3 linked regions of the Rhinolophus ferrumequinum genome follow. The protein of the gene in region 2 purifies or fractionates together with the protein of the main gene of each other region. This does not show direct contact. Links are inferred from orthologs where the notes say so. Each region holds a gene or a part of one and is shown on either strand. Other genes may lie near its edges.

Evidence for each region. The genes of interacting proteins can lie anywhere in the genome.
Region 1: the proteins of PLK1 (region 2) and MCM6 purify together in Homo sapiens (affinity purification with mass spectrometry; 3 studies listed by BioGRID and IntAct, with this or other methods). This does not show direct contact. The link is inferred for Rhinolophus ferrumequinum from reciprocal best matches to the Homo sapiens genes PLK1 and MCM6.
Region 3: the proteins of PLK1 (region 2) and TOPORS purify together in Homo sapiens (affinity purification with western blotting; 3 studies listed by BioGRID). This does not show direct contact. The link is inferred for Rhinolophus ferrumequinum from reciprocal best matches to the Homo sapiens genes PLK1 and TOPORS.

The regions. Positions count from the first base shown.
Region 1 is NC_046291.1:82,501,441-82,508,897, reverse strand, and holds the start of MCM6 (DNA replication licensing factor MCM6), read right to left. Parts: upstream 3,244-7,457; 5' UTR 3,118-3,243; coding exon 3,011-3,117; intron 1-3,010. UniProt on the Homo sapiens protein: Acts as a component of the MCM2-7 complex (MCM complex) which is the replicative helicase essential for 'once per cell cycle' DNA replication initiation and elongation in eukaryotic cells.
Region 2 is NW_022680357.1:17,556,363-17,563,593, reverse strand, and holds the start of PLK1 (serine/threonine-protein kinase PLK1), read right to left. Parts: upstream 3,077-7,231; 5' UTR 1-3,076. UniProt on the Homo sapiens protein: Serine/threonine-protein kinase that performs several important functions throughout M phase of the cell cycle, including the regulation of centrosome maturation and spindle assembly, the removal of cohesins from chromosome arms, the inactivation of anaphase-promoting complex/cyclosome (APC/C) inhibitors, and the regulation of mitotic exit and cytokinesis.
Region 3 is NC_046295.1:49,892,286-49,899,881, forward strand, and holds the start of TOPORS (E3 ubiquitin-protein ligase Topors), read right to left. Parts: upstream 3,244-7,596; 5' UTR 3,181-3,243; coding exon 3,061-3,180; exon of another isoform or gene 2,934-3,060; coding exon of another isoform or gene 2,649-2,933; intron 1,332-2,648; coding exon 1,137-1,331; intron 1-1,136. Other genes in the region: uncharacterized protein LOC117032445, read left to right, coding at 2,649-2,933, 3,274-3,386; NDUFB6 (NADH dehydrogenase [ubiquinone] 1 beta subcomplex subunit 6), read right to left, coding at 4,050-4,118. UniProt on the Homo sapiens protein: Functions as an E3 ubiquitin-protein ligase and as an E3 SUMO1-protein ligase. Probable tumor suppressor involved in cell growth, cell proliferation and apoptosis that regulates p53/TP53 stability through ubiquitin-dependent degradation.

The DNA of each region.
Region 1 (7,457 bases), on a different chromosome or scaffold from region 2:
GGGCCAGTGAGCTGCGCTCTCTACAGCTAAGATTGTGAACAGCTCTCCCTGGAGCTGGGCTGCCGTGAGCAGCTGGTAGCTGGCAGCCGACAGACCAACGACCAGCAACTGGCTGCTGACGACTGGCAACCGACTGCATGGGGGGGGGACGACAACACACGCAAACCTCGTAAGACCAGCATGGGCCAGGGAGCTGTGTCCTACACAACTAGACTGAGAAACAACAGCTTGAACCAGAGTGTGTGTGTGTGTGTGTGTGTGTGTGTGTGTGTGGCGGGGGAGGCGGAAGAAGGGGGAAAAAACCGAACAGAATAAAAATACACAGAAATAAGGTTCTTCACTGCCCAAGACCTCAGAAAAATGGGAACATACACACAAAATAAAGCTGGTGTGTTTTTTCTAAAAGTATCATACAAACATATTTGCTTTTCGTTCTTTTAACATAATATGCAGATCAGTTTTGAGGCAAAATCAATTCCTCCTTCAAATACAGCATGTTCTAACTCTGTTAAGATTTACTGAACGACTCTGCAAAAGCACTATGTAACTGAAGCTGCAGATGAGTGCTGTTCCTGCCTTAGGGTTGACACTCTCAGGAGACACTCCTACTAAAGAGAGGTACAAGACAACCTAAATGTCCATCACAAATGATTTAAAAAAATGTGGTATGCACATACAGTGGAATACTATTCAGCCTTAAAAAAGGAAATTCTGCTACATGTGTCAATATGGATGAACCCTCAGGACATTATGCTAAGTGAAATAATGATTCTACTTACATTAGACACCTAAAATAGTCAAATTCATACAATCAAAAAGTGGGATGGTCATTGCCAGGCTGAAGGAAGGTGGAAAACGTTGAGGTACTAATCAACAGGTAAAAAGTTTCACTCAAGGAAGATGAATAAACTCTAACAGATCTACTGTACAACAACCCTGTACCTATACTCAACAATATATTGCAGTTAAAAATTTGTAAAGAGGGTAGATCTCATGTAAGTGTTCTTTCCATAATAGAAGAAAAAAGGAAAAAAATGGGGGAAGTGCAAGAAATGTGATAGGGGAACATAAAGTAATTCTACCTAACATCTAGAAAGGCTTCATGCATCTAAAAGGTGGCACTGGAATTCAGCCTGGAAAGACTTAAAATCTGAAAAACAAGCAGTAGATAGACTGGTTACAGATGTCTACAAGTACGTGGCAGTAAGAAAAGGTCTGGAAGGAAGGTGGATGATGACAGGCTGGCTGTGGGAGATGAAACTGAAGAGAGGAGCTGTGAAGAATTTGGACTTTTTCCATAAGCAATGGCAAATCAAAGTTGGTATTTTTAAAGAGAGTTAGCATTTTTTCCCCAACGAAGGACAGGGATTATTTGTTTTGTTCATCATCATCCCTAGCATCTAGCTGCATGGTAAACTGCAAGGTAGTGAAGGTAATGATATCATTGAAATGAAACATTCATTGAGGACCTCAGTAATGTGGTGTGGTGGCTAGGTGGGGTTAAGGATGGGATTTACCTTGAAGATGAAGTGGCTGACAGGTAAAGATACTGGAAACGATATTACCAGATATAATGGAAAAGGGCAACTTGGGAACATAAGGGAAAAAAGGTTTGGTGTTGTCTGATCGGTTTATCAGGTTTCACAAAGGAGGTGTGAATCTTTAACTGAGCTTTGAAGGATGAATATCTGTCACGCAGAGAATAACATTGCCGAAGGTAGGGAAATATAAATTATGGTTTTAAGTAAATCACAATTTTGTAATACAGAATTATTCACAATAAAAGTGGAAACAACCCAAATGTCCACGGACATATGAATGGACACAGAAAATGTGGTATATACATACAATGGAATATTATTCAGCCTTAAAAAGGAAATTCTGGCACACGCTACAACATGGATGCTAAGTGAAATAAGCTGGTCACAAAAAGACGCATACTTAATGATTCCAAGCACATGAGGTATTGTCACCCGCACAGGCAGAGAACAGAATGGTGGTTGTCAGGTGCTGAGGGGGTGCCGGGAAAGGAGTAATTGTTTATTGGGTGCCTAGTTTCAGTCTGGGAAGAGTTCTGGCGAAGGATGGTGATAATGGCTGCATAACAAGGCGAATGTACTTAATGCCACTGAACTCTACACTTAAAAAAGCTTACAGTGGTACATTTAAGTGGTAAATTTTATGTGATGTATATTTTTCAAGTAAATAAAGGATTCATAGGACATTCCAAAATGTTTACCTTTCATCCCGAGGCAGCAGAATCCACACTCTCAAATAAAGAAGTGAGTATCTACACTAAGAACAGTTAACTGGCCGCAGTGGCATCGAACCGGGGAGCGGGGGTACGAGAGGCCAGGAGCCCAGAAGGCAACGGAAAAAGAAGTGGGGGGCGGGGTTTGGAAGGAAAGGACGGAAAGGAGAATGTTCAGCTACTTCTAAGCAGGGTAAGGCTCACCCTCACCCCAGCACGTTAAACCACAGGGAACACTCTAGTCCTTTCATCTCCACAGGCTCCCGGGTTGCCAGGGACCTGGGTGCCAACACCAGGGTCCTGGCTGTGCAGTCCCTTCGGGCGTCTGCCATGATTCCAGTGCCAGTTCGGCTTCTCGCTCGACCCTGCCCACGCGTGGCGTAGCCGGACGTCACTTACCGTCCCGGGGCCTCAATTTCCGCACAGGTGATCGGGGGCGACACGACCACCAGCCTTAAGGTAGTGAAGACTGAATGGTGGAGTAAAGCGCTTAGCCTGGGGCACAAGAAGAGCCTGAGGAAGGGTTTGCCATGGATTTCACCCTTGCAAACCAAGCCAGCCGGTCCTAGCTCCTAGCGGGGGCCTGGCTAAGCCCCAACTGGGGCTCGGGCCGCTCCCCAAGGCGCGCGATCGCGGTTCCGGAACAACCGCCGGCCACACACCTTAACCCTGCCCTCGGGCACGGGGCTTCCCGGGTTCCTAAAGCTGGGAGGGGATGCTCGGGGAAGTTCGGCGAGAAAGGGCAGACCGCGGACTTACTCCTCCAAGAAGTCCAGGAAGAGCTTCTGGCACTTCTCCGCCACCTCGTCACGGACTTCCAGGCGCTGGCTGCCGGCGCCCGGCTCCGCTGCCGCCGCGAGGTCCATGGCTGTGCAGCGCCGAGGGGCAGGCGCCGACACGCTGGGCCGCCACGAGTCGCCTCTCCCCGACGCGGCGGCTTTGCGCTTACCGCCGCCGCCGCCGCCGCAGCTCCGCCCGTCGTGGCCCGGGCCGGCCGCAGCCAATCGCGAAGCAGGAGCACGGAGATTTCGCGCCAAACTTTCCGGAAGAACGCTGAGACCTCTCCCTTAGTCCCGCCCACGAAGCGGGGATTTCGCGCCAAAAGCAAAAACCTGCTGAAACGGGGTGTGTGTGTGTGTGTGTGGGGGGGTGTCTGCCTGTGCGTCTGCGCAGTGTGGTTGGGTCCTGGGGAATCTGGCTTCTAGAGCATGTTAAAAAGGCCATATCGTTGTTTGTGTGGCTTTTCAAATGTTCTTCACATCATTCCACTGACATTAATTGAGCAGTAAGCGTAGGGCTTTATGGAAGAGAAAAATGAGTAAGAGTCAGACCCTCAGCTTGGGCCGTCTCATCGGAGGAAATAAACTGTAAACCAGGGTAAAACATTAAAAGAGCGAACATGGATGTACACACAGTACCGGGCATGGGGAGTTGGCATAGTTATGCTGGCAATGCTGACCCGGGAAAATCAGCGAAATATTTGACTCTGTTGATTAATTGCTCTCTTCAACGCACTCCTTGCTTGTGACCTCCTGATTTTTCTTCCCCTTTCTTTGGTCATCTTTCTCCGACTTCGTTTCACTTGGTTTTTCTCCTATCTCTTTGGCCATTCTTGTTTAGCCTCCTTTATAAGCGCCAAGTCTTCTTCAGTGAGTCCCTTAAATATTCTAGTCCCAGAGCCTTCCTTTCCCATAAAGGAGCTCTCTTGGGCTACTCCCTTCAGTCCCTTGGCTTCAATTAACATCTGGGTGCTGATGACTTACAAATGTGTGTCAACAGCTGATACTGTTTCTTGAGCCTCCAAGAGTTTAAGAGAAGCCTGGACCACTTTCAATTTTTGAGGCCTTCAGCACATTAAAAAAATGTTTTCAATGTCAAAGAGGGTGACAGAAGTTATAGTAATTCTTTTAACACACACTTCACAAGATATTCACAAGGTTTAACAAAAATGCTCATTGCTAGTGTACTGTCATGGATGGGAGATTGTATGTATTACCTCATTTGAAGAGGATGAGAACCCTTGAGGCTCTGTGTCCATCCCTCAACCCTTCCCCAGCTCCAGAATCTGCCTGCCTGTGGACATCACTACTTGTATGTATTTTAGGAACCTCAAACTCACCCTGCTTCATGCTATTCACACCCCTCATCTACTAGGAATGGATCCAGGAGATATTTAGGAGTAGTATGCTGACCAGGTTGCCTAATACTCTCAAAAGGCCTCATTCTTTTCTTTTCCATTTTTTACCTTCTCTTCATCTTCTATTCTCGGGGTAGATTTCTCAAAACTAAAGTCCCACATACCAAAGGAAAAAAAAAAGCAAAGAACAAGAGTGTAGAATTACAGGCTAATTTGCAGCTATGCCCATTTGAGAGAAAGTTGAGACTTCCTCTTTTCAACCTTACACACCTCACAGGTCCTCTCTTCCACCTTCAGACATCACCTCTGGACCAGAATAGCAGATGAGGTCTCCAAGTGAGGGTTGTGGGATACCTCAGGAGGAAGGTGTGGGTTATGAAGCAGCTCTGTGCTATATCCCAGGAGTTGTACGCCTCCGTGTGTGTGTGTGTGTGTGTGTGTGTGTGTGTGTGTAGGCCTGAGACTGCTGTCCTTAGAAGGGCCTGCTTGCAAGGTTGAGCACTGGCTAGCATTTGGGAGCTTGACTGGTAAAGAGTTCCCTACACTGGTATCATATGACACCTCCCATAAATGATAAGGATGGCTCACTGTGCCTAAAACGTTTGTACAAACAATGTGGTTTGTGCTGAACATCTTCTGAGTAGTATTTGGAATCTTGATATGTGCTAGGTAGACAGTGCCTATTGAACAGCACCAAGAAAAACTCTGGGCTTTTCTAATGAGCTTTCCTGGTAGAAAATGTGGTATGTGTACTGTCATGGTTTGATGCTGGGGAGAAATTGGTGCGTTCTATATGAGTCCATAGGGAGAGGACTCTAGGAAGCTTGTACTTAGTTTCCTCTGGACTTTGCCTGTCCCATATACCTTTTCCCTTTGCTGATTTTATCTTCTACCCTTTAGCTGTAACAAATCATAGCTGTGAGTACAATTTTATATATTGAGTCCTGCGAGTCCTAGCAAATCATTGAAACTGAGGATGGTTTTGTGGACCCCCAACACAATATATGTTCTTTTCTTAACCTTCTTATAATAGAATTTCAAACATACACAAATGTAGAATAATAAAATAACGCCATTTTTATTTTATAATAGTCTAAATAGTATATAATGAACTCCCATTATATAACCCCAATAACCATCAACGTGTGGCCAATCCTGTCCAAACCACACACTCCATCTACTTTTCCCTCTACATTGTTATTATCTTAATATTTTTATTTTAAATTATCTAGATACTAAAAGTTGCAAAAGATAGTACAGAGTTCTCATACATTATTCTGTGCCCATTTCCCCCTACTGTTAACATTTTACTTTACTGTAGTACATTTGTCACAACTAAAGAACTAACTTTGGTACAGTACTATTAGCTAAACTCCATACATTAGTTGGATTTCACTAGTTTTCCTCTAATGTACTTTTTCTTTTCCAGGACCCCATCCAGGACACCACATTACATTGAGTTGTCCCGTCTGCTTAGTCTCCTCTGCTCTTTGAAATTTCTCAGACTTTCCTTGGTTTTGATGACATTGATAGTTTTAAGGTATACTGCTCAGGTATTTTGCAAAACATCTCTCAATTGGGATTTGTCTGATGTTTTTCTTTTGCTTAGACTGTGCTTTGGGAGGTAAAGCACAGAGGCAAAGCACAGTTCTCACCACTCCCTTATAGTTTTGAAGCAAATCCTAGATACCGTATCATTTCATATGTAGCTATTTCAGAATGACTCTCTACAACAGAAAGGCTCTTTTTCCTGAGACGTATGTTTGGCTTAGAAGGAAAATTCCTTCAAACAGCTGTAGCAGTATGGGTTGATGATACTGATTCTTTTAAATCTAACTAATATTTTCCTAACTAACACTTCAACTTACTTTGAATAAAGTCAGCAGATTAAATTTTTACATGATTTATTTTAGGTGATATGCAATATTCAGTAAGATATTTATCAAATCATATTAGAAAAAGTTTCTTCCAAACACGGTTAATCTTCATCTTACAAAATATTTAACATATCCTACCTCTTATTAACAAAGTAAGAAAATTATATGCTAGCTGTGATAAATTACTTTTAACAATAAATGACTAAATGTATTTTTAGTCATTTGTCTTCCTCTTTAGTTACTTAAAAATATGAGAAGTTTGATCATGATGTCTATCAAATTAGTGGAGAGAGCAGTAGGATTGATGGCAGTTTTTACCTATTTTTATATAATACTTATTTAATTTTTTCAAAAAGCTGAATACCAGAATTACATACACACAGTACTGAAAAAATATTTAAAACTTCCATAATACTTCTCAATTCATAATAACATCATTTTAACTGTACCCTACATTATATTGTTAATTAAGAAATGAGAAACTGCATATAATTTTACTTGTGTTTTACAGCTATTATAAAAATTGATTAGTTAATATTTTATATATGTATGATTTTAATATTTATTTGATTGCTTTTATAATCATCAGTTTTACAAAATGTGTTCCATATTTTGTCTCCCAGTGGCTTTTAGACTATTTCTTGAAACAGGTATTACCATGTTTGTTTGAACTGAAAAACAAAGTTGGATTATTTTTTTCCTAACAAAACAGTAAGTGTGATTTATCTGATTGATTTACAATGAGAACAACCTTTACTAAGTGGGTTATGTGGTGGACATTTTCTAGACATTGAATAACCTAAGTCTTCAGCTCCAAGGTTTTGAGCAAAACATATTTCAAGAACATTATAAAATGAAACCACTCTATTTAAAAAATTGGATAAGCAAAGGTGTGTTGAAATTAACAGGATTTTTTTCTTCTCAAGTTTAGGAGAGATTTGGGCAGCAGAAACAGATTGAAAAATCCTCACAAGAGATGGTGGGGAAGTTTTGGAAGTAGATGCAGTCACTCAAAAAGCATCTGAAGAAAAAGAAGAAGGCAGGTCCAAGCATAAAACGCTGGGGAATATCAACATTTAACGGGAAGCTGAGAAGGAAAATGCCATGGGAGAGACTGGGAAATTATAACCAGAGAAATAGGAGGAGAACCTGAAAAGTCAAGAGAAGATTCTAGAACTAATTGTTGTCAATG
Region 2 (7,231 bases):
AGTGACGGGGGCTCACCCACAGCAGCCACGTGGGGTGGCTGGGCAGCCAACCCGAGGAGAGCGGGAGTGGGGGGTTTCTCCCTTTCTCCGCCGCCTGGGACGCTCCTGCGCTCACAGGCACCTCCTCCAGGAAGCTTCCCTACACCTTCCTCCACACCCACCCGCCTTCTAGAACTTAACCTCCGGATACAGACCGGGCAGCGCCAAGAGGTAGCCTGGGAGAGCCTTGGCACAAGCCTCCCACGCCATCAGCTCTCTCCTGCGACACCCCAAATAAACTAAAACCGAAGCAAAACCAGGATGCTGGCCAGGAATTTGCACGTTCAGGGCAAGGCCCCTCCTCCCGTCCTGCCAGCACTGGCTGCTCCTGGAACCTTCTGGCTTACGGAGCAGCTCTACTTAACCCGCGGTGCAGGGGCCGCCGGGATCACCCTCACCTGGGAGCTTGTTAGACCCCACTCAAGGCCCAGGGCAGACCTGCCGGGAGAACCTGCCTTTCCATCTGCCTAACGAGTCCTACACACACACAGGTTTCAGAAGCACCGTGCAGGGCTCCACCGTGCCAGCAGGTCTGGCTTGCTCAAGGCTGGATTTCCCAGTGCCCAGGGAGCAGACCGGTTGGCACAGTGCCTGGCAACCGGTAGGCCGAGGCCAACTCTGGCTCCTCCCTTTTTAAAATGACTCATTTTACAGCACTCAAAAATCAACAGAGCTCACATAAAAATCCAGGTCTGTGGCTTTTCCTGAAAAAAGCTAGCAGCTCTGGCAATGCTATGCCTCCATACTTTCCCAGCTTGTCACTGGTCCCCGCTGTGGCCCCTTTGCCCCTTTGACTGTCTGGCTTCCATAGATACATGAGTGGCAACCCTGGCAAATCACCCAAGTCAGAAGCCCTTCTCTGTGTCCCTAGCGCCCCACGAGGCGTTTGATGGAGCCTAACAAGAACCCCCACGTTCTGAGTCGCTCTTTAGCTGCCTCCCAACAAACTGAGAGGAGGTGATGACGTCCCTCCTACCCCATGTCCCAGGCTCCCAGAGCAACGCCAGGTAAAAAGGGGTGACAAACGTTTGCTGAATAAAAGGGAGTTTAAACAAAAAATTAAGTTATTATTCTTTATCCTCGTGGTGTGTAGTCTTCTATTTCATCTTTTTGTTGAAGTTGATTCTACGTACAGAAAAGGTGTACATATCATAATTGCACAGCTCGGCGACGTTTCACACACTGGACACACCCATGTAAACAGACTGAGAAAGAACGCTGCTGACACCCAGAAGTCCCCTGTGCCCTGTGTTGGGGGTCCCCAAGGCCACCTCCTCGTTTGATGACATTACAGCGAAAGACTAGGAAGCAAAATCAGCCAGGGGAAAGGCACAGAAAGCCAAGTCCGGAGGGAAGCAGGCACAGGCTCCCCGGAGTTCTCTCCCAGTGGGGTCACACATGTTGAATTCCCCAGCAATGAGCTGTGACCACACATGCCAAATGGTGTCTACCAGGGGAGCTGACTCGGTGCCCAGGGCTTTACCGGGGCTGCTCACGTAGCGCCCCCTGCCGGGCACACCGGATTCCAGATTACCACAGGAAAGCAGGTATTCAACAAAACCACAGTCTACACACACAGCTCAGGCAGAGTGAGCTGCTCGTCCTGTAGGGAACGGTGAGAAGCCTCCCCCAGTCCAAGTTCCCAGGCGCCAGCCGAGGGCCAACCCGCAGCAGGCCTTCGTAAGGAGAGCAGCCTCAGGCCTGCTGTTACCTTTTCTGCAAGCTCACCCCTTGGCCCAGGTGCCTTTGCACCAGGATCACACAGAAGGGTCAGGCCAACCTGCAGGACTGATCTCAGTACCTCTTAGGGTCCTGGATTAGCCAGTTAAAATCAAAGAACCCCGCTCACCATAAAAGCCCACCTTCGAAAGCCAGGTGGCCTGCTCCTTGGTCTCTGGGAGTCGTTTTACCCCAGGCACTGAGGCCGGTACAGCACAGCTGTGGCCAGGGAGTCCGGGCTGACCTGCAGCCTGAACCAGCATGGTGATGGGCACACACAGTGTGACCCAGAGGACACATGCAGCCCCCCAGAAACGAGCTGGGGATGTTAGGGTACCCCAGGAGGGACGTACACTAGTCAGGCAGCAGAGGTTCATAGGTCCCCCGGGACGCCTCCCTCCTATCATGGGGCCCTGCCCTGGGGTTGCCAGTCCAGTCTGAGAAACTGGTCCAGTCCTCGGTTTCCGAGGGACTGCATATGGGGAGCCTGCGGGAGCCCAATGGGAGCCAGTTCCACACAGTGTTGCTTGCCCAGGATACCAGTTTATCCATCACATGAGTGTGGATGGCACCTGGAGGGGATCTGCGTGGACAGTAAGGTCATGGTGCTGCCAGCTGTGCCCCCCAGGTCGTGCTCAAGGGAGGGCTTCCAGGAGGAGTTCTGCAGAACAAAGATATGAAATGCCCTCCACCTGCCCAAGGCTCCCCGGGGCCAGGTTTTTGCTTTTGCTCCACTGTTACAAAAGCAGCGTGTCCGGCCCATCCGCAATCCTAAGTCTGCATTTGTCAGTCACCTCTTACTCGAATCCAGGCCTTCCATCTGGAAGGACTGTGCGCAAAAGGCATAAAAGCAAGTAACCAGAAAGACGTGTTCAGGAATTGGTCAAGATGTGCTATGCACTGAATTGTTGTCCCCCAAAATTCACGTGCTGCAGCCCCAACCCCAATAACTCAGAACAGGACTGTATTGGAGATGGGGCCTTTAGAGCGGTGCCTAAGATAAAACGGGGTCCTTAGGGTAGCCCTAATCCAATATGACAGGTGTCCTTAGAAGAGCGCAGGACACAGACGCACAGACAGAGGGGTGACCACGTGAGGACACAGGAGAAACCAAGGACAGAGGCCTCAAGAGAAGCCAAACTTGCTGACACCTTGATCTTGGACTTCCGGCCTCTAGAACTGAGAGACAATCAATCTCTGCGGTTGAAGCCCTCCCGTCTGCGCTATTTGGTTACAGCAGCCTGCGCAGACTCAGAGAGGATGAAATCCTGAATTCTCAACAATTTCAAAAAGCTTCTCCATAACCTCCTCCCCCTTTTATCCAGAGAGCAGCCTAGAAAAGACGAATCGCCTCCTAGAAACAGCCACACTGGAGTAATCAACCTACCTTACCCAGTGTCTGTTCCAGGGAAAGTGGGGAGGCAGAGTCAGGCCATTGGCCGCTGTGCCAAGTTGCAAATAATCCAGAAGCAGAACAGTGAGCTGTTCCCCAGAGGGGGCCCAGAGGCTCATGTGTCAAAAGCAGGAGGAGGGGTCACAGTCCCCACGATGTGGCCTCCCCCGATTGGCAGCTTTTGGCAGGGATCACAACTCAGGATGCAATTCGCCTCTGCAGCAGAGAGAAACGGCCGGTCAGCAGCTTGATTTCAAGGGTCCCATCAGAGAACAAACCCTTTGCTGTGGGCATCTGTATGTGACCCAGATGGTCCAGCTGGCAGCTGCGATGTGTGTGTCCATGATTCCGAAAGGTCCTAGGTCTCCTGTGGTCCTGGGCCTAGTCCAGTCCCGCGCAGATCCCGGGGAAGCAGGCACAGAGCATGGCGGCCGGTCTGTTTTCAGCTTCCAGTCAGGCCCCACCAACCAGGATCAGTGAATTCGGGATTCCCAGGGAGCCAGCGGCTTTTCTTCTGCAGCAGCAGAGGCAGAAGCTGAGTGCCAGACAGCCATGGTCCAAGCCCAAGTGAGAAGCGAGGCTTCCTTTTCATCTTGTCAGTCTGAGTCCAAACTGACCCACTCAGAAATACACACATCCGACTGGACAGCCATCAACCAGTCTGGCTCAGACATTAGATTTCATTCAGCAAGGGCTCAATAGCAATTCGACTGCTTTTTCAAATTCCAAATGTGTATTTCCATCCAAGGATTGACTCTCTTTTCATGTTGTCTCCCTTTCCAGAGGCTCCAATAGACAGAAACCATGCCAGCAAAAATCGTCAGTTATGGAGACTTGCTCTGGTTCCACTTCTCAAAGAATTTAAATTCTAATTCACTGGTGGCAAAAAGCAAGACAGCCGAATCCCACCGTGCACGGAACTGACCTTCACAGTCCCTATACATGTTCCCCATTTGATGGACGAGACATCTGAGGTTCGTCGGGGAGACAGCTTGTCCGGACGTGCAGAGCTGGGAGCTGATCTGCCATGTCCAGCGCCCACGCCCTTCAGCACTGTGATGGCCTTTGGGACGCAGCTCTCAGCCTCCACGAGAGACCGCTCGTGTGTCTCCCACTAAGCTGTCCGCTCCCGACGGGCAGGGCCTGGCTCCATCTCCTTCTCCACTGTGCCTCCGGGACCCAGGGCAGTGCCTGGCACTCGGCAGAGGCTCAGGGAACTAACTGTTCACTGCATGACTGAGCGACGCAGCATGAGCCGGCTCTATCTTCCCTGCCCTGAAGGGCAGCAGGGCGCGGTCTACAAAAGCACAGCGCCGCCCCTGGGGGCTCGACAAGTGCTTCTGTGACCATGGACTTACGGGAATGGGTCCAGGCTGGGAGAGCATTCTGCTGACACCTGTTTTGAAACCAGCAGGCCTCTGGACATATTGTCCCCCCACTGCCAGTGCCACTGCAGCTCCCCAGCCCTGCAGCTCCTCAGACGCTGCCCCGGAGATGAGCCAGCTCGACCTGCCCCGCCACTGCAGCCGCCCAGGTGTGCTGGACAGCGGCTCAGGGCGTCGACGTGGCTAAGGCGCCAGGTCCTGGGCCCACTGTGGGCTCTCACCAGCCAGATCTGGATGCTGAGACAGAGCTCCCCAGCCACCAAGTTCCCTTCTTTACGGTGAGAAACTCCCAAGGACGCACTGTGTAGGAGCAATGCTTGTCTGAGTCATTTCAAGTCTGCCCGCACCCAGGTGGGTCAGAGTGACTAAGAACTGTGGCCTCAGGCAGAGTGAACTGGCTCACTCCGGGATTCAGAAGCCACCACAGACGCCAACCAACAAAACGCCCCTTTTTGCTTAAACCACTTCAAGCTGGATTTCTGTCACCTGCAGCAAAGCCTGCTAACTGGATTTCTGTTTCATCTAGTGAGTGTATTCTTTACAGAGCGCCAGCCACACGGTACAGAACTTCAGACACTATTAACAACTGCAAGCAAGACAGTTCTCCGGAGAAACCTGCTCCCATCTAACGACTCAGACCCCAGTTGCAGCTGTAAGACCACGGGGCACAGTGTAAGGACACTGCCCTCTCAGAGGGGACACGAGGCTTCCTGCCTGGGGCAGACATCGCTGGATGGTTCACCCCAAACCCATCCCACCCCCTTCTCCTTGCCTGCCTGAAACACCCAAATACGCATTTTCTCAGCTTTCTGCACAGCAAGGGCTGGCGGGGTGACACATCTAGGGCACTGAGAGGCGTCACAACAGGGAGGAGGTCCAGCCAGTGACTAGGAGACAGGAGGTCCTGCCTGAGCCTCTGTTCCTGGGGAGAGTAGGTGTACCTGCCTCGCAGTGGTTGCAAGGAGTAGGGGATTCATATACGGAAAGGAGTCAGGAGGCTACCTGGCTGTTTCTAATCCTGTGTGTGGCAGTACGGAGCCCTCTCTAAGACACAGCGAGTCACAGCAGCCAGAGCAAAGCGGCAGCACCGGTGTGAGTGCGACAGAGACACCCCGTGTGCGCACGCAGACCGCCTGGCAGGAGAGCCCAGAACCTGCTCGGCGGCTGCCTCTGGGGAGCAGAATACGGGGCTGGACGCGGGATGGGTCCACCGACTTCAGTATTGTCCCTGCTTTCCTGCCTGGATGGCACTTTTGGAATCATGTACTTGAATGACTTAAAGATTTTAAAATTCTATTTAAGAGGCTCAAAAAATAAATTAATTAATTTAATAAAAAACCACGCCCCATGTTCTCTTTCTTTTCTTTTCTTTTTATTGGGGAAGGGGAACAGGACTTCATTGGGGAACAGTGTGTACTTCCAGGGCTTTTTCCCAAATCAAGTTGTTGTCCTTTCAGTCTTAGTTGTGGAGGACACAGCTCAGCTCCAGGTCCTGTTGCCATTGCTAGTTGCAGGGGGCGCTGCCCACCATCCCTTGCGGGAGTCGAGGAATCGAACCGGCAACCTACTGGTTGAGAGGATGTGCTCCAACCGAGCCATTCGGGAGCTCAGCAGCAGCTCAGCTCAAGGTGCCGTGTTCAATCTTAGTTGCAGAAGGCACTGCCCACCATCCCTTGCGGGACTCGAGGAATTGAACTGGCAACCTTGTGGTTGAGAGCCCACTGGCCCATGTGGGAATCGAACCGCCTTCGGAGTTAGGAGCACGGAGCTCCAACTGCCTGAACCACTGGGCCGGCCCACACCACTTTCTCTTAATTTGGGTTGTTCACCAACAAATTGGATAGTCAATTATATGTCAATTATATCTCAATAAAACTGCAAAAGTAAAATTGAAAAGAGAATGGACAGTTAGTCACATAAAGCGGCGAGGTATTCACACACAGACGGGACGGTGATGTGTTGCATCACCTGGAAGATTTCTCTAGGGAGCAAAAGGGTGTTCCGTCAGCCTAGGGGGCACCTGAGCTCTGCCAGCCCCAAGATTCACCTTTTTGGTGGCACGAAAGGGGAAAGGAGCTGGCGGAGAGGCCGGGAAATGGCTGAAGAACCTGCACCCATCACAAACTGCTCGTGTCGCACAGGACGCAGAGCAGGTGTGCTCCAGGGGCAGGCGTGTCCCGTCTCACCAGGGCAGAGCTGAGGGCCTGGGCAGTGGAACCAGACCTGGGGCAGCCCCTGTACCCCAGTACCTAACATTCTCCCCTGTAAATGGAGCAACAACCACCTGACAGGGTTGGTGTGAGCCAGGAGCGGGCCAGTGATTGAAAAGCCTGCAGCGGGCACCGGGCACGGAGCAAAGTGCCCGGGAGACACAGGAAGCCATCACTGGAGGGGGACAGCTATCACCTTCAAATGACTCGGTTCATGTATCAATCTTTTAATGTACAAACATAAAAAAACTGACAAACCAGGAACCAGTTTTACATCGAATGAGTGGCGATCATTCCGTTAGCCAATTCTGCAAACCCCACAACCGGATACTGAGCCAAGATCCGGCTTCCAGGCTGAGCTGTCCCCCCCGTGGCAGGAGAGTCGGAGCGGAGCCAGGCCGCCGTCCTCGGGCCTGCACGTCCATGTCCATCGTCTAAACCGAGAGGTCAGAGCAGAGCCGGCAGGGTTGTGCCATCAACAGAAG
Region 3 (7,596 bases), on a different chromosome or scaffold from region 2:
ACTGTTTCCTATGTTATGTAAAAATAAACTTATTTCTGGTCATTTTCATCACCCATAAGTGGTTATAAAGGCCCAGAAAGATGGCAATCTGTAACAACTAATCTTCATAATTAATAATTACTGTACTAAATACATCTAGGCAAAATGGCAAAAAAGGGTTCACAAGTGGATAAACTAGAAATACATCTCCAAGTATTAAAAATAATCTGGGTTCTACCTCTTGTGACCTTAAAGAAATCACTCTGAACTGCAATGCAATAAATTCCAAAAGATCATATAGAAGTTTTAGGATCTATTGATCAGATCCTGTAAAATTTAATTCCAATTCCAGCAATAAAAAAAATTGCTTGGGAACCATTCCCCTCTAAAGTCACTCGTTTCAAACAAGCGAGATTACTTTGACTGAGTGCATAGCTTTTCATGTCATTGACTCATTAAAAACCCCCAGCCCTCATCACTATTAACGGACAGCTCTTTGTTAATTTACCTTAATCTTGAAATTACCTACCAAAAAGTCTATTCATTTTCCTCCTAAATCACTATTTGCTCATGTAAGTCGAGGCATCTGCAGCCCACCAGGAAAGCTGCACTGACTCGCTGGATGAATAAATCACGGCAGGTGAGCCCAGCACACAATGTTTAGCACTGCGCAGACAACTCCAACAGTCACGGTGACAGTCCCTTCCTTAGGCCAAAAACTGCCACCGGCCAAGATCTAAGACAATCACCACGTGCATTACATAATCACAACGAACTGAAATACTGTTATTCCCATTATACAGACAGGATCAGAGAGATTAGAGGGCCCATTCAAGGTCACACCTCTGACAGTGCAGGTGCCACCATTCAGACTCGAACGTTTTGTGTTGAGTTTTTTTCCCCCGAGACCAAGCTCTTTCCAGTACACGGCTAGGCTCGCGGCCCTCGGGAGCGCTTCTTGGAAACGTAGCCCTCCCCCGCCCACCGGCACAAATCTACAGGTGCGCCGCAGGTGCCGTCCGCCCGCCGGGGCCCCTGCCCCACTGAGGCCCGGACGGCCTCTCAGCTCCCTCGTCGCTGGGCCTCGCTCCAGACGGTAGCTCCAGCTGGCCCAGCCCTTCCGACCCCCGCGCCCCATTGTTCCTGATCTCACTCACCTCGGAGGATGCCGGCGCAGGCCGAGCTGGGGCGCTCGTGGCAAGCTCCCGGCGGCCCAGGAAGCTAGGGCGGTGACGACAGGATCCGCGAAGGCGTACCCGGCGACTTCTCCGCCGGGCCTCAGGAGCGGGAGCAGGCGGGGGCGCTTCACCCTCCTCGCGAGACAGCGGAGACCCCGGCGGCTGCTGCGACCCCTGTGACGTAAAGCGTTCATCACCAATGGCAGCTTGGGGGCGGCGGTAGAAGCAAAACCCACCCCGCGGCCCTCGGCGCGTCAAAACACAACACCCACCAACGTAACGCATGCGCAGTGGAAGGGCGCCGGCGAGGAAGGAGGGGCCTACGTGCTCGGCCCGAGCCCGGGTCCTTCCCCCAACGTCCACTCCCAGGAATCAGAGCGACGTGACCCCTCAGAGGCAGAAGTCACTATCATCACCGTCATGATTCTTGTTATTACTAATCTCTGAGGGTTGAAGGGGCACTAACTTAATGCTCCCTCCTAACTTACCTGGAAAATACGATAACCAACTCGGCCTCATTTAAACCCCACTAAACTGCGAGAAGTTACTAAAATGATCTCTAGTATATAAAAGAACCGAGTAACATGGAGGTGAAGTGACTTTACTTCCGATTGCACAGCTTGGTAATATCACCGGGATTCGAGTGGAATCCAAAGCCAGAGCCCAACCAGTATCCTACAGTCTTGAGAGAGACATCTACTCCAGTCTGAGGATAAACAGGGATTACCTAAGAGAAGAGCCTTGAAATCTTCCCAAAACAATGTTTTTCTCTCAAAAGACTGCTTTCCCCTTTCCCCACGCCCCGAAATCAGGATTAAAACCCTATTTAGATGACATTATGAGATGTACAGAGAAAGAACGTCTGAGCCTAAAGCGGCCCGTTGCCCCATTCTACCCTCTGGCCTCAGATACGAGCGTCCCAAACATTCTCAAGTTGAACTTGGTACAACCTGCCAAGTGCCAAACCGCCGTCCTTTGGCTTCATATTTGATACGCGCTACCGTTCTGGGCACATATTATAAACGCTCAACAAACACTTGCTGATTGGCAGGTACATTATGACAGTTAACGGTGCCAAGTTATTCTCAGAAGTTATTTACATCAAGAAGCCATTGCGTTCTGAAAGATTTGTTTCTTGAAGAAGGGTTCAATTAACAGGGATTCCCACAATGATTCGTCACTGTTAATATAAAAGTGAGTAGTATTCTTGTTTACATCAAAAATGAATATACGAACCTCTATCAATATAATGTCGGAACAGACTTAAGAAGAAACGTTAATTCTTCCAGCGTTAGACGCCGGTGCAGTATTTAAAATACGGATTAGTTTTTCAAATACACTTTTAAATGCACACGACGGTATAATATCCTGCATTAACATTTACTGCAACGGAAAGACCAATTGACGAGATACGCTTATTTAAGTGGCAAAAAAAAAAAAAAAGTAATTTCAAAACACATTTTCCCGTTTATCCCATCCCCTCGCTGAAAGGCGGGCTAGGCCCCGGATCACGTGAGCCTGCCCCCAGCTCCGGGCGGAAGAGGCCGGCCATGTCGGTGGGAAACGCTCCTGGAGGCGAGTGGGCGGGCGTTTGTGCCCGGCTGAAAGATGGCCGTCGTCGCCGCCACCGCCACCGCCGCCGCCGCCGCCGCCCGGCAGCCGCCGCCCGGGAGGTTACTCTAGGGCCTGCAGGTTCTGCCCGTGCCCGCGGACTGCCGTCGCCTCCTTACCATGAAGCCAGTGAGTCGCCGCACCCTGGACTGGATTTATTCAATGGTAGGTCCCGGGTCTGGCGAGGCCCCACAGTGTCGACTCCGTAGGCCCGCAGGCGAAGCCCCCCTATTCCTCTCAGCGCCCAGAAACTCCAAAATCCATTCCTGAATTAAGCATTTCACTCCCTCACCTCGACTCCGCCTCTTCCTGGAGGATACGCTCTTCCGCTGCTTACGTAAGGACAGCTGGGTGTACGTGCCTTGGAATCCCATTCTTTTGTCGCTGTAATTTCCGCCTTAGCAACGTGCATGGCAACCTATGGGGGGCGGGGAGGAGGTGCTGCTCACATTAGAATGAATTTTTTTGCATTTACTTCGCCTCTTGCATTTTTTTTTTTTTTTAGTTGCTCCTTGCGATAGTATTACTCTCCTGGGGATACGTCCTCTATGCATCAACAGTAGCCGCTCGACGACAGCTAAGGAAGGCGTACCCAGACAAAATCTTCGGAATGAATGAAAATTTGTAATTCCTCTAGATTTTATTCTACGCAAATACTTCTCTGGCATGTGTCTTGATTTAAAGTAAAATCCATGATAGTTTCCAATTTTATTTTTTCATACAGTCCTTTATAATAACCGATCTAATATGCTAATTTTTCAAATATTTAGGTTTGTCTTTTACATTCTTATATAACAAAGCAACCTAGATCCGACAGCCTTTGAGTATCAGATCATACATGGGATAACATGCTTTTCAACTTAAGAATGTCTAAAATACGTTTTAAATGCCCCAGAAAACCACCCTTAAAACAAAAGTGTGTGGAATTTCTATTCTTATATTTATTGCAACATTTCATTCTGTTCCATACCTACACACCAGACTAGATTAAGTACTATGTAAAAAAAAGAAAAGTGACTATTTTTCTATATCCTGTTTTCCAAGTCAAGAATGGCCAGAAAAAGTAGTTGGTTGTTCATATCATTTTTTAGCACATCCAGTTTTCATTTATTGTTAAATAATTCAGTCTCAAATTGTATAGTGTTTAGGAAGAAATAAAACAATACATATCTGAGAGTAAACTTTATTATAAAGTTACTTTTTCAGAAAATATATTCAGTAAATATGGTAATGTAGCAACAAAACTTGGGCTTATATGCCTTTGAAATTTTAAAGTAATCTTCAGTGATGTTGATCAGGAAATGCTTTCATTGGTGGAATTACTTCTCCAGTCTCCAGAATTGTATCACCCTAGGAAAACAAACATGCTTTAGTACAAAAATCTTGTCTGCAGAGGAGCATCTACTTGGTCAGACCTCACACCAAAAATCTAGTTCAGCTTTGGCCTTCATACTATAAAAGGGACTTAGGCAAAGTAGAAGCTGTCTAAATATAAGCAATCAGTATTCAAAATCTTAAGGTGTAAGTGAAAGAACGGGAAGTTTCACTCAAAATGAACAGAAAGGGCAGGCAAGTGGTCTTCACAAAATGATAAAGGGATAATGTTTATTTTGCATGGTCCCAAGAAATAGGAGAAGCCCTAGAAATAAGTTACAGGGGAACATCTTCAGCTCAACATAAGGAGGTAATGTATTCACAGTAACTAAATGTGTGTTAGGCAATCATCAATTTACCATTTGGTACAGGATAAGTAGAGACAGAATGCAAACTTTGCCTAGGTAGCTGGTTCAGGTGTCTTTTCAGACCTAGATACAGTGTGTGGTAGAAAAGACATGGATTTTGGAGCCAGAACCAAGTGATGACAATCCTGGAACCTCCACTGACAAGCTGTATAACTTGAAGCAAAAACCTTAGCTTTAGTTTCAGCTTTGTGTTCAAGAGAGCAGATTCTGTCAGCCTGAGAGTCCGTGAATGACTGGGTACAGTAGAATTATTCACCCATCACCACCCCTGCCATTTTCTGACCTGGTACTGCTCAGGACTATTATCTGATAAAGAAATACACGTTTATTATGTTTGAGCCATTATAAATTTTGGGAAGAATTTATTACCACAGCTAGCATTACCCTAACAGAAAATAGTACCCTGAAGTGGTACTAATGCTGCGGTAATAAAAATTGAAACACATAGCACTGGCTTAGTCTGGAGGCAAAGGCTGGCACTAGAGGCTGACAGGTGGAAATAAAAGGCAGTAGTAACTTGGAAACAGTCTAATGAACTTGAGGTTCTAGGAGAGGTAGCTGGGGAAAAGTTATAGTACGTGTTTACTACTAGCTGCTTTGGGAATATACTTTAGGAAACATGAGCTCAGGCCAGAAGTGGCTGATTTGAGAGGAAAAATAAAAATGGAGAGAATAAAAAATTCAGAACCTTGCAGGATTGGAAAATCAAGTTGCTTCTGAATCTAAACAGTAAGGGTTAACACTGAAGAAATTCTGAGAAACCCAATAAAACTCGGTAAACAGAGGGACTCAGCCCTATGACAAAGAACAGACTGAAGTGAAGGTAGCCTTTCAATCAGTCTATTTCAGATGGCCTCCACATAGCTGCCACTGAGTTGAGAGAGGCAGTTGCATGAGGACAAAGGAAAGAACTTGGTAACCATGTATAGAAAGCACAGATGCATGTGGGACTGACTAGAAGCAAACAGACTCCTACCAAGTATTTTCCTTTTTCTGCCTGCCAAATGTTGTGGGGAGTAGATGGTCAAAGAAACCAAATATATAGACAACAAAGGCTTATGAATGAGCTTAAAACAACCTCTGGCACTCAACCTCCTGTGAGCAGGAAGCAGATTTAAAAGGCTGTACAACCCTAAGAAGGGCATGCCTCCCAGTACCCATTTTCCATGTGGTCTAGGTAATGAAAAAGAAAGAACTCCTTGGACAGAGCCAGGGGCCAGGAAGAACAATGAACAAAGGTGTTACTTCCAGAAAACAATCTGCCCATTCAAGTCACTTCCTACACACAAGGAGTTAGGAGTCCACAATATTTGACCACAGATTTCAGAATTGCCAAGAACCAGTGACTGCACTGCTGTCCTAATTCCACCACTGAGAAATGGGTGGGATGGGGGGACAAGGGCAAGAGATACAGTTAACTTGCCTTATTTATTCACTGGTTCTCAAATCTCAAGAGAAGTCATATCTAAACATGACAGACACTACTGTGCATCACCTAGAGATCTTGGATTTGGGACTGGTTGCAGTGATGGAATAGGATTTGGGATTTCTCCCTCAGGAAGGAACTGTGTTATAGGAGTATGTGAGGGGGAAAGAAGCAAAGAGATATTTGGTGACTAGAAGGATGGACTGTGGCAGAAATTCCAGGCATGAGAGGCTGGGGGAAAAAACAACCACTACATAGCTATTTGGGACAATGAGAATGAGTTCTGGCCAACAGGATTTAAGAGAAGTGATATAAACTACTTCTAAGATTAGACCTTAAAAGCATCCCGAGATGTCCAGACCTCTTTTCTCTTAACATGCTCTTGGAAGCCTCCTAGTCCAGGTGGCATAATTACCAGATTGAGGAAGATCGCCTGATCTACGTTAGTCTGTGATATCAATAAGAAATAGCGCTTTGTATTATTAAGCCACTGAAATTTGGGAGTATGTTTGTTACTGCCCATCCTATTCTGTTAGGTTGGTGCAAAAGTAATTGCTGTTTTCACAATTATTTTTAACCTTTTAAACTGCAATTACTTTTGCACCAACCTAATAATATGTGTACAAATGAGCTTTCTTCAGGTCATCAAATGGGAAGCTTCTCAAAGGGGTCAAAGGCATAGAAATGGAAAAACCACAATGGCAAGAATAAGAAAGTAGGAGAAATGCCATGGGATCACTATGTGGTCTTCTAATGACAACCCCCTTTCTTTTCATTTGAACAATAATGACCAAATAAATAATAAACAGATATATAAATGGAAGAATAAATTGCCCAACTGGTGAAACCAGTAAGATAATTTCCTATTTTGAGACTACCGTGTTTCTCTGAAATTAAGACCTAGCCAGACAATCAGCTCTAATGCATCTTTTGGAGCAAAAATTAATATAAGACCTGATCTTATTTTACTATAAGACCGCATCTTATATAATATAATATAATATAATATAATATAATATAATTAATATAATTAATATAATATAATAGACTGGGTCTTATATTAATTTTTGCTCCAAAAGATGCATTAGAGCTGATTGTCCGGCTAGATCTTATTTTCAGGGAAACACGGAATCTAGGCCCTGACATATCAATTATACACAATAAAATATAGAAGAAATCCCCTACTATTTCCTAAAGCAGAGTTCCAACTGGAAAGGTTAGCCAATTTTGGTGGTTCTCCCTAAAATTTACTTTGGTGGTTCTCCCTAAAATTCACAGATGATGGATCACTGTGACTGTCATTTGATTGAAGCAAGAATCAACACTGAGTTTTGTTTTTTAAAATTACAGAACTTAGAGATTGATGGTATTTCATTATTTGACCAGAAATAGACAAGAACATAACATGTATTTTACTATGTTAAATAATAACCTCACAAACAATAAAACTGACTACTGTGTAATCTTTTAATGCTGAAAAGACTTATTTTAAATTAGGATAATAGGTTACATATTCATATTATAAAATTTAAGCACACATCAACAGATTTTAAATTCACAGATGGATAAGTTAAGGTCCAACTGCCCTGAGAAACGATAGTTTGGAAATAATAACAGAGGAATTCACTTGCTATTACTGTGCTCAGGTGTCTATAGACGC